Callithrix jacchus: one gene and its partners. The protein of the gene in region 3 interacts with the protein of the main gene of each other region in a pairwise test. Links are inferred from orthologs where the notes say so. Each region holds a gene or a part of one and is shown on either strand. Other genes may lie near its edges.

Region 1 (3,650 bases), on a different chromosome or scaffold from region 3:
ACACAAAGTCAGGAGCAAGAAGAACCATGAGAACAAGAGAAACAGGAAGACTCCATAAGACAGAGAAATAGCTGCACATTTTAGTCACTGAAATGGAGGACTTTTTTCTGTTCTTTAATCTTTTAGTATTGCCGTAAGTTTCATGTAGGAGAAACAGATCTAGTTCTAAAAATAAACTATTTTTCTTCCATTAGGAGTCCTAGCCCTGTCAGTATCCTAGAATAATGGTTAGAAAAAGAATCATTTAAAAATACTATCCAAGTTTTAAAATTAATTTTCAGTTCTATCAAGAAGTCAACTCATCTGAAACAATCACTAACAGAATTCAGCCTCAGAGTCCTTGTTTAGATTTAGATTTACAAGCTGCTTTTAACTAAGCAATCTGGGCTTATATCAGATCCCAGTTAATGGAGAAAAGCTGACTGACATTGACCCTGGTCATAATCAGAAGCCCTCAGCATGATTTAGCAGCCATAGAGAAAGCTTACACTTCCTAAGATAAGCAACTGAAGTTAAATTATTTGGAGTTTTTCTCTTTAAAAGTGGTCTGTTCAATTTGAAAGGCAAATATAAGAGGATTCTCCATTAGAAATATAAAATATTTGTAATAGAGCACAGGAATTATAAGCAGCTTTTCTTTTTTAGGTAAACATCCAAAAGTAGGCCTTCCAGATGGCAAATATTGTAAATTTAAATGACAAATAAAAAGGGACAAGATTTCCTGTTTCTTACACTCCGCATAGTGCCACTGACTAAACCCTGCACAGGTACTACCTTACTTATTAATCAGTTAAGATTGAACAACTAATGGTTTTTCACATTGCATAAATATGCTTATAAATCAACCATGCTTTTGAGAAATCTGCTAAAAAATCTGTAAAATGTGATAAATACTAAAAGGGAGGCTCTGAGTGCTGTGTGAGCTACCAAGTCCCATGAAGAAGCCATTCTCCAACTTCTTTTCTTCTCCAGTCCCTTCTCAAGAGAGGCAGCTGGGGCTGTGCGAGGTGGCTCATGCCTATAATCCCAGCACTCTAGGAGGCTGAGGTGGGTGAATCAACTGAGGTCAGGGGTTTGAGACCCAGCTGGCCAACATGGTGAAACCCCGTTTATACTAAAAAATACAAAAAATTAGCCAGGCGTGGTGGCAGGCGCCTGTAATCCCAGCTACTCGGGAGGTGAGGAAGGAGTATCGGTTGAACCTGTTAGGTGGAGACTGCAGTAAGCTGAGATTGCACCACTGCACTCAAGCCTGAGTGACAGAGCAAGACTCCATCAGAGAGAGGGGAGAGTGAGGAGAGAAGGGGGGAGAGGAGGAGAGAGGGGGGGAGAGGAGGAGAGAGGGGGGGAGAGGAGGAGAGAGTGGGGGGAGAGGAGGAGAGAGGGGGAGAGAGGGGGAGAGAGGGGGAGAAAGGGGGAGAGAGGGGGAGAGAGGGGGAGAGAGGGGGAGAGAAGGGGAGAGAAGGGGAGAGAAGGGGAGAGGTGAGAGGGGGGAGGAGACAGATGCACCTGGGATGCATGTAAATTGAAGAGAGAGGGGAATTAAGGGAAAAGGAGCAAGAGACTATGTGAGTATACTGGGGGAGGAATAGGGGAAAATACTAGAAAACTAAAACCACTTCCCTCTGTCTACCCACCCCAATTCGGGGAATGGCACCTATAACGTTGTCAATTTCACTATTAACAGGTGAGAGTCATAATGACAAGGAATCAGGGTAGATCAACTAACAAGAATTGAACCAAGAAGGAATATAAGAGACCAATTAAAATGTCAATTATATGCATAAACAATTATTTGACAAAGAATTCTACTGTAAAAATTTTAGCTGTAACACATAAAACAACTCTCTTCCCCAGCACACACCCCCGCACCCAAATCCAGCATTAAGTGGATGCTGGTTAGCTGCAATCTGAAACTGCAACCACACATCCAGTTAATCTGTCCCTGTTTTGTGCATGTGTGTGTGCGGGTGCACACACATGCACGGATGTAAAGTATGAAAAGCTCACTGGTGAAATGGGACTATGAATATCTAAATAATTCGGCCAATTATCAGTGACCTAAATGCTAAACAGTCTTGATATTCCTGAACAGATCAACTGTCTTGCATCTGCTGCCTCTGGCACAGATATTAGAATGTAAAGTAATATTCCTTTTTATTCTAATGGTATTATCTTTTTTAAGGTTTAAACCATAAGCTCAAATTTACAAAAGTACTCTAACCTGAAAGATTAGCTTGGTAGATGGGGGAATGAAAACTGTATGATCCAAAGAGAAAAACTAATGAGCCCTTGAGGTCAGCAAATCTGACAGCTTTTTGTTTTGTTTTGCTTTGTTGTTTTGAGACAGGGTCTCTCTCTGTCACCTAGCCTGGAGTGCAGTGGCTCAATCTCGGCTCACTGCAACCTCTGCCACCCAGGCTCAAGTGTTCCTCCCACCTCAGCCTCCTGAGTAGCTGGGAGTACAGGGATGCACACCTGGCTGATTTTTGTATTTTTTTTTTGTAGAAACTGGGTTTCACCATGTTGCACAGGCTGAGCTTTCGTCTTAATACACATCAGTCTATCAATCTTCATTATGACTTCTAGAAAAGCAGCTGCTATTGATTCATTATCTATCCCAGAACACTTTATCTATATTTAGCTTCAAGTCATATTTATGTCTCAATCAAGAGTTGAGGCTGTTACTAGAAAAGTATATATAACCCAGAGGAAATGAGGTTCTTTACATAAGGCCTCAAGCCTTAATGAGATATCTACAGGAACTGTACACATTTCTACTTGTATACATTCATGTCTACGTGATACCAGTTGACTGTTACTTGTTATTAATATAGATTTTTACAAAGCAAAGCAGTTATTGTATTTACTCAGAAAATTTTCTTATTATAACTACATTAGCTCAATTTTTAGTCCTAATTAAAGTGAAATCTTTCATTTAAGGAATGGATAAGAACCTAAGAAAAAAAGTAGTATCAATATTTAAGAAAAATGAGGAAGATCTCATAGTCTACATTATAACACAGATTAAATAGGAAAACAGCAAGACAAGAAAAGAAATATACTTGATTAAAAATTACTCCTATTACAATTCATGATTGCTTTAATTACTGCCATTCCTTTTTAAAACACCAAGCATTTTTAATTTCTTAGCATCAGGATCCATCAAGGCAAGGGAAAAAAATTACAAAACCAAAGCCATTTGTTTTTCATGCACTGAATTCAAGATCATTAAGGTAGTCTTCAATTAAAGACAATTTTTAAGTTTCTAAAAATGGATAGGAAAAATTAAGTTTCAAGTCTAACCTGAGTTGGTGACAGCCATTTGCCACTAAGTGTGAATGAAGGTGGGGAAGAGGATGGATAATCTGGTGGCAGTTCAAAGTTCAGCACAAGTGGCGGCAGAAAGCAAATGGTGTATTCAAAGCCACTATTCTGGAGACACTCATTTGAATTGCCTGAACCAAAAACAAAGATTAGAAAGGATCAGTTGGTCAATACTTGAGTGTCCATTACTGTTGAGCAATGCTCAAGAAAGACTTAATGCTTTAGTAAGAGGGAATAAAAACCCTCCTCAAAGGACTTTCTATTTCCTAATTTTAACTTGGTAACCGCCACCTTAAAAAAATATTGCAACCCCTTGAAAAATC
Region 2 (3,650 bases), on a different chromosome or scaffold from region 3:
AACAAGGAGGTTCAAATATATTGATATTTTAAATTAATTTTAAAGCTAGTGCTAAGTATCCAGATAAACTTGTGTTAATTTTTATATTTTGTACACCTAAATAATTTTTTAAAAATTTATTAAAAAGTATGTTCAGTAGTTTATCTTAACAAAATATTAGTTTAAATTTATGAGTTCAGAAAATTTTTTAAAGTACATATTTGACACAATGCATGCTCTCTGGTGTGTGTGTGTATGTGTGTGTTTGTGTGTGGTATGCATAATGACATTATGCTAAGATATATATGTATGGAGGAAGGTACAAATGTATGCCTAGGTGTAGACTTAACACTAGCAGTTGACCCAGCATCAGCAGAACAAGCATTGTCAATTATTTTCCTAGAAAGAGTGAAGGAAGGATTTGTCCTAGTTTGACTCCACACTTGCACTTCCACCCTTCTGTCTCTCTGCCCCATGATAAATGTCATACAATTCCAAAATAGTTGGCTGGGTTAAGGTAGCCTTTTGTAGAATATATGTGGCTAATTGGTTTCTTGGGGGTCGATTCTATCTTCATCAATTTATAATTTTTTCAATTTTTTAAAAAGTTATATAGACGGTATTGACAGGGATGTTGATATATCATCATCATCTCCAGTCATCTCATCTTTTTTTTTTGAAACGGAGTTTCGCTCTTGTTACCCAGGCTGGAGTGCAATGGCGCGATCTCAGCTCACCACAACCTCCACCTCCTGGGTTCAGGCAATTCTCTGGCCTCAGCCTCCTGAGTAGCTGGGATTACAGGCACGCGCCACCATGCCCAGCTAATTTTTTGTATTTTTAGTAGAGACGGGGGTCTCACCATGTTGACCAGGATGGTCTCGATCTCTTGACCTCGTGATCCACCCGCCTCGGCCTCCCAAAGTGCTGAGATTACAGGCGTGAGCCACCGCACCCGGCCCCAGCCATCTCATTTTATAGGAAAAAAAAAAAAAAACCCGAAGAACTGGTAATATCTTGGACTTAATGCAGATAAGTGACACAACTAAGCGGTTCCCTGACTATTTCATCTATATTTGTAGCCTCACTAAATCTACATTGATGTACAGATGCAAGAAGTGAGAATATACAGAGAGAAAGCATCCTGATTCTTCTCTACTTAATTGAAAACTTTAATCATTTAAAAAATGCTTTCACAGAAACACAAACTGACAATTCAAACCAAAATCAGTCAATCAACAACTTAGCAAAAAAAAACAAAAACAAAAACAAAAACAAAATGAGGGCAAGAAAACTGAAATGAAATTCTTTGTAATAAGGTCTTTTCTTTATTGTAAATCATATTTTATATGTGTAATATTAATTGAACAGTTAATAACTTAGAAAGGGAGGACAAGAACATTTTCATTCATTAGGGATTTTGAAGTTTTCTTCAAATATTTCATATTAATTTAAAAGATATTTCATTATAAAACATCTGGCTTCCTAAATTACTTTATGCATTTGGTAGCTTATTAGCCTGATCACAAAAATCACATCCATCAGAATCACAACTTGTTTGGACAGATATCAGTGAGCATTTATTGTGTGCTCAATGCCAAAGATCTAGCAGCAAAGACAGACAAATGTTAGAAAAACAATATGGCACTGTACATAATTTAAGAATGACATAAATTTACCTTCAGTTATCCGTATATGATTATGCAAAATTTGAAAGAGATACGAGAGCTATCATTCTCGCTTCTGGAGCTTGAATTTGAAATTTTTTTTTTTTTTTTTTTTGAGACGGAGTTTCGCTCTTGTTACCCAGGCTGGAGTGCAATGGCGCGATCTCGGCTCACTGCAACCTCCGCCTCCTGGGTTCAGGCAATTCTCCTGCCTCAGCCTCCTGAGTAGCTGGGATTACAGGCACGCGCCACCATGGCCAGATAATTTTTTTTTGTATTTTTAGTAGAGACGGGGTTTCACCATGTTGACCAAGATGGTCTGGATCTCTTGACTTCGTGATCCACCCGTCTCGGCCTCCCAAAGTGCTGGGATTACAGGCTTGAGCCACCGCACCCGGCCAAATTTGAAATTTTTCTAGACTGCAAATTCATTTTGTCATACCTTGATGATTGCATTTAGTTTGTGAACTTGTCAACTCTACAGTTAGATTACTTAAAAACTATTTCCAGAGATATTGTTATTAATCTTTGAATGCTCAGCATTTTTATTTCCTCCCAAAAATTGTTTAATTCCATTTCAGGTCTATCAGTGTTCATTATCTTCTTATATTATATATATTTATTATATATACTATATATGTTCACAATATTCAAATATATTTTTCTTTTAAAATCAGCAATTTTGCCTTTAATATAAAATAACATATATAAATGTTATTTATACATATATATATGCATATACTCAGTGTTTACCTTAACAGGTAATTTTTGTCTGTCAGAAATTGTGTTCTGAGAAATATATAACTTGTTCATTATTGAACTATAACTTGCTCATCACTTGGTTCTGGGATTTAAATACCATCTTGTGTTAGAAGATATGCTTGTATTGTTCCTATGAGTGTTTATTATCATCTTGCCTAAAAACACTGTGATGGGAGTATATTCTTGCCCACTGACCAAATGGAATACCTTTAAGCCTCTTATCTTCTCTTAAGTGCATAACCTCTCTCATAAACTGCGTCTTTGCTGTAGGAAATCACTGCAAGTAGGATAAAGGAAAAGACATTAGCTTATTCCTAGTTAAATACTTTGAAAGGCATAGTTTGGTAAGGCAGCCTAGCCATGCTTTAAGTACAAGATACACTGGGCCATACATTTGATTTGTAATCAGATTGTAAGAAGCGAATGTTTCTTACTGTAGTCGCTGTTTTCGTCCTTGGTCCCATCAATGGTACCATCTGGGTGCATCTGCAGGAAATATCCCTGCTGGCTAAATAACCTTGTCACAATCCCTTTCAGCTGGGGTTCTGCAAAACAAAATAATTATTCAAATTTTTACTTGGCTTATAAAAATGCACACTTACAAATTGTTAAAAAAAAATCCTGTAAGTAAATACATAAATGCCAATAGCTTCAATATTGAATTACCTGTTTGGGAGTTGAGTATTTCAGTAACATATCTATGCTTTTTTCTTCCTTCTAGAGGTAGAGCCATAACACTTTTAGCAGTAAACTAAATGCAAATAAATAAAGGCTAATTATGATTAGGAAAATACAGAGACATGCTAAAAAGTGAATTATTTTGCTCCCTTGTGCATCTGGTGTCTGACTACAAGATTTCACCAAGTTTATAGCCCCATTCGAGAAATGACTGTTTAGGCCAAAATGCCTCTGCAATTACTAAAGTTTCTAGTGTCATAATCAGGTCCATAAGATTTCTATTTCTGCAGGGTGTCAGCTGTCCATCAGAAGATCCTGGGTTTTGAATTTGTAATCAAGTTCAACCAGAGAGAATAGTTTGGATGAGAACCACAGGCAATAGCAAAACTCCCGTGGCCATGAGATGTCACTGGGAAATATGTGAAAATGTAAATTTCATCTTCACTAAATACTTCACCAGAGAGGAGCCTCAGTATTCCAAAGGTCATTTCTCTAGTAAAAAAAAAAAAAAAGTCAAGTCATAAATATTTCTCTAAGTTTTTCATTTTTTTTTTTTTTAAGATG
Region 3 (4,186 bases):
CGTAGACCAGTTCCAAGCCTAAGTAAGTGAAGATACTTGAAGATATGAGCAGCAAATAGATTTGACCTATGTTCAAATCATATGTGAGTCAAAAATCCTTGAATAAATAGCTCGATGCAACAAGTTAGAAAACAGAAGAAAAGGAAAGGAGGAAGAGTCAGTCTAAACTCAGCCTCACGTTTTTTTAAGCACAGCTACCGAAGTCTTTACAAGTCAACTAGTGAGCTGTTTTTGTTCTCATTATTTACAAAACATCTATTATTGACAAATTGGAAAGGACTTTGCAAAACTACAGCAGCACTTTTCAAACATGGAAAAAAAAAACAAAAAACAAAACTATTGTGTTGTCCAAAAAACACATTAACCACTGGCCTTGGGTCTTAAAGGACAATGAGGATAGTTGGTTACTGTGTAAGACAGGTGAATTAATTATAGAGTTTTGAGTAAGAAAAGCCTTTTTCCACTTTCTAAATCTTCAAGGATGCCTTATCTCCTTGATCTCTCTAAGTATAAGCGGTATTTCTGACTTGCTTTTGGGGCGACAGTGAAGTTATTCTAAATCATGCACATCAGGACAAGCATTTCTTTCCACAGCATATTAAGAAATAGGGAATTGAATACAGCTTTCCATTATTCTTAAGCGATTTCTGACTGACTTCCCACCACTTGAAAATTGCCCTGGAATTTTCACTACCTTTATATAAATAAATGATTTAGTAGAGAAATAAAACAATCAGATGCAAAAGAATATTACGCTTTGCTTACATGTGAATTTTCCTCAAAATAGTTTCTGAATAATCATGAAGTGGGGGCTGTTTTCCTTTCTATCTCATTGCCAAAACGCCTGGAGATGGATCCTAAATCCTTGAAGGAGCAAGCTCGGGGCGCTCTGGCTCGTCTTTAAGTTGGCAGGCGATTGTTTAGAAGCTTTGGAAAAAATTACCAGTCGCCGCGGACGAAATGCAATGTGAGACATGCAATCTAACGGTAGTATAGAAGAGAAGTGGAAGATCTCCCTCTCCTTTTCCGATCGCCACTTCTGCGTCCCCGGCTTTTCCTCTCCGTTCCTCCCACAGTTTCTTTCTTTATCCTCCCCCTCCCCTCCTCCTTTCCTCGCACGCTCCCTCTCCAGTGTCTCGCGCTCTCGGAGTCTCTGCTCCGAGTTCCTGGTTGGATAATTTGGGTTAATACTAGTGAGTGAGGTTTTTGCGGCTTCAAAGGGTATTTCAAGTTTCCGGAGCTCCTCCCCTCTGCACCGTGTGACAACAACAACTCGTCCAGCCGGCAGCCTGCACTTTTCAGCTCATTTTCTCTCTGTCATTCGCCTCTCAATCTTTGATCAATGTACTTGCCAGGGAGAGCCCAAGTCCTTCAAACCTCCTCCTTTTCACCTTCATCCTTAACTTTGTGCTAGAGCGGGACCCACACAACAACAGCCGACCCTCCCCGCCCCCGCCCCCACCCCCCCAAACCAGCCCTCCATCCCAGCCCCCGGAGAGGACTCGCATTTCGACTTGCGGGACACTTTTGTGCGTTTCTCTCCAGAGCGCCTCTCGTGCTCGCCCCTCCTGCGCTCGCTCTTTATCACCTTCACCTCCTTTTCTCCCCCTTCTCTCCCTTTCTCCTTCTCGTTCTCTCCTGGAGTTGTTGTTGTTGCCCCCCTCGCTCCTTCTCCCCCCTTTTTTCCCCTTCCCCTCCCGGGGTGTGTGGCAACTTTTCCCCTCGCTTCTCCTCCGTCTGCTTCCCCTTATATGTGACCATGGCAGTGCCGGCGGCTTTGATCCCTCCGACCCAGCTGGTCCCCCCTCAACCCCCAATCTCCACGTCTGCTTCCTCCTCTGGCACCACCACCTCCACCTCTTCGGCGACTTCGTCTCCGGCTCCTTCCATCGGACCCCCGGCGTCCTCTGGGCCAACTCTGTTCCGCCCGGAGCCCATCGCTTCGGCGGCAGCGGCGGCCACAGTCACTTCTACCGGCGGTGGCGGCGGCGGAGGCAGTGGAGGCGGCGGCGGCAGCGGCGGCAATGGAGGCGGCGGTGGCAGCAACTGCAACCCCAGCCTGGCGGCCGCGAGCAACACCAGCGGCGGCGGCGGCGGCAGCATCAGCGCTAGCGGCGGCGTCGCCTCCAGCACCCCCATCAACGCGAGCACCGGCAGCAGCAGCAGCAGCAGCAGTAGCAGCAGCAGCAGCAGTAGCAGTAGCAGCAGCAGCAGCAGCAGCAGCAGCAGCAGCTGCGGCCCCCTCCCCGGGAAACCCGTGTACTCAACCCCGTCCCCAGTGGAAAACACCCCCCAGAATAATGAGTGCAAAATGGTGGATCTGAGGGGGGCCAAAGTGGCTTCCTTCACGGTGGAGGGCTGCGAGCTGATCTGCCTGCCCCAGGCTTTCGACCTGTTCCTGAAGCACTTGGTGGGGGGCTTGCACACAGTCTACACCAAGCTGAAGCGGCTGGAGATCACGCCGGTGGTGTGCAATGTGGAACAGGTTCGCATCCTGAGGGGACTGGGCGCCATCCAGCCCGGAGTGAACCGCTGCAAACTCATCTCCAGGAAGGACTTCGAGACCCTCTACAATGACTGCACCAACGCAAGGTGAGTAGCGGGGGGTAGCCTCCGCCACCCGAGCCCCTTCCCACCCGCCTGCTCGCCATACCCTCGCTCCCTTCCCGGCGCCGCTCGCTCCGCGCGCCCGCGAGTCGCGTGCCCATGCGAGCGCGGCCCTCTCCTCTCCCTGCTCGGGGCTCACCCGCCGCGCCCAACCCCCTGAGAAGTTGGCACCTCACCCTACCCAGACCTCGGTCTTGGGCCCGGTCCGCCCCCTTGCCCGCTGCGTCCCGGGGATGAGCTGTAGTGGGACGCGGGAACTCTTAGCCTCAGGGCGGAGGGGACTAGAGGGAGAAAGACGGCGCCTTTCCTGCAGCCACAGCCCCCTGCCCCGGGCGCGCGGGTGCCTGGGGACACCTCTCGGAGCTACGGCCGGCTTTCGTGCGCTCCCCATGGCCTGGGCTCCTTCGCCAGCCTCCCGGCACCGATGGGGCTGGTCGGTGGCGCCGAGCGGCGTCCTGGGGGCGGGGAGAGGTCGTGACCTGCCCCGCAGGGCTTGGGGAGCGGGGAGACGTGCTCCGGGTGAGGGGCCCGCTGGGAAAGGCGAGGGAGCCCGCCTGCAGCAGAGGAGGGCACTTTGAGGTCGGGAGGGAAACGACCGGCGAGGCTGAGAGATCCGGACCTTCCCGGGGGGTTGAGCTCCGGGGAGTTGAGCTACGAAGTCTGGAGGGGAAGCCCGCCGAGGGGAGGGGTCTGTGTGTTCGCGCATGTGTGCCTGTGTCTGCGTGTGAGCGAGTGTGCAAAGGAAATAAGGGGATTCGGTGGCCCCGGGGCAGATGCGAGGGCACCAGCAGGTTTTCCTCGGTAGGGGGAGGTGACCGAGTGCCCGAGACTCAATGGAAGCTGAACTGGAGAGATTGGGAAGGAAAGCGACGGAAGCGCGCTGTCTCTCGATCTCTGTCTCTTTCTCTCCAAAGTGTTTTCTTTCTATATTTCTCTCTCTTTTCTTTTCTTAAAGGGTAGTAGCTTACGCAGCGATCAGGTGCACACTTACACTGAGATGCTCAGCGGGCCTGCTACTCTGTGCCTTGGCTTCCCCAGCCCAGCAAAGCGCGCGCACGGAGACGGCGGCGGGACGGGTCCCCAGCCAGACCAGTTTTATGCTAATGAAGGCTCAGTGGGGGAAGATCTACCGGGAGGGGGCGGGAGTGGGGCAACCTGTCAGTTTCGGGGTAGAGACGATCATTCCACCCCCTTTCACAGCTCCGCTTTGTCCCTACGGTTCGCTGCCTGGAAGCGCAGACGCAAAAGTTCAGACAGATGCCGGGAGAAAGAGAATAGGGAAAGTTGAAGACTTGAAGCAGGCACGTGGGAACTGCGCGCAAAATTTGCGCGGAAACTTCGGTACCCTCTAAATAAGTTTGAAGGTTGAGAGGAGGAGCGGAGTTGGTGTGTGCCCCCGCAGAGCCAGGGAAACTGAGGTGGGAAGGAAGGAAGTGTAACAAGGAGACCAGAAGGACATTGGGATGAAAAAGCGCTAGTTTTTTCCACGGAGGAAGACTCCTAGCTTAGCGCCCGGGAAGACTGTGAAACGAAAAAGATTCGAATTCCAGTCCAGCAATTGTCCTATCCTGACCTAGCC

The links.
Region 1: the proteins of DACH1 (region 3) and RNF14 interact in binary tests that used the Homo sapiens proteins (3 or more experiments, as listed by UniProt). The two-hybrid records come from large-scale screens. The link is inferred for Callithrix jacchus from reciprocal best matches to the Homo sapiens genes DACH1 and RNF14.
Region 2: the proteins of DACH1 (region 3) and FGF12 interact in binary tests that used the Homo sapiens proteins (3 or more experiments, as listed by UniProt). The two-hybrid records come from large-scale screens. The link is inferred for Callithrix jacchus from reciprocal best matches to the Homo sapiens genes DACH1 and FGF12.

What each region holds. Positions count from the first base shown.
Region 1 is NC_133503.1:40,423,017-40,426,666, reverse strand, and holds part of RNF14 (E3 ubiquitin-protein ligase RNF14), read right to left. Parts: intron 3,459-3,650; coding exon 3,307-3,458; intron 1-3,306. UniProt on the Homo sapiens protein: E3 ubiquitin-protein ligase that plays a key role in the RNF14-RNF25 translation quality control pathway, a pathway that takes place when a ribosome has stalled during translation, and which promotes ubiquitination and degradation of translation factors on stalled ribosomes.
Region 2 is NC_133516.1:21,261,500-21,265,149, forward strand, and holds part of FGF12 (fibroblast growth factor 12), read right to left. Parts: intron 2,954-3,650; coding exon 2,843-2,953; intron 1-2,842. UniProt on the Homo sapiens protein: Involved in nervous system development and function. Involved in the positive regulation of voltage-gated sodium channel activity. Promotes neuronal excitability by elevating the voltage dependence of neuronal sodium channel SCN8A fast inactivation.
Region 3 is NC_133502.1:43,445,192-43,449,377, forward strand, and holds the start of DACH1 (dachshund homolog 1), read left to right. Parts: upstream 1-1,319; 5' UTR 1,320-1,759; coding exon 1,760-2,592; intron 2,593-3,598; exon of another isoform or gene 3,599-3,689; intron 3,690-4,186. UniProt on the Homo sapiens protein: Transcription factor that is involved in regulation of organogenesis. Seems to be a regulator of SIX1, SIX6 and probably SIX5.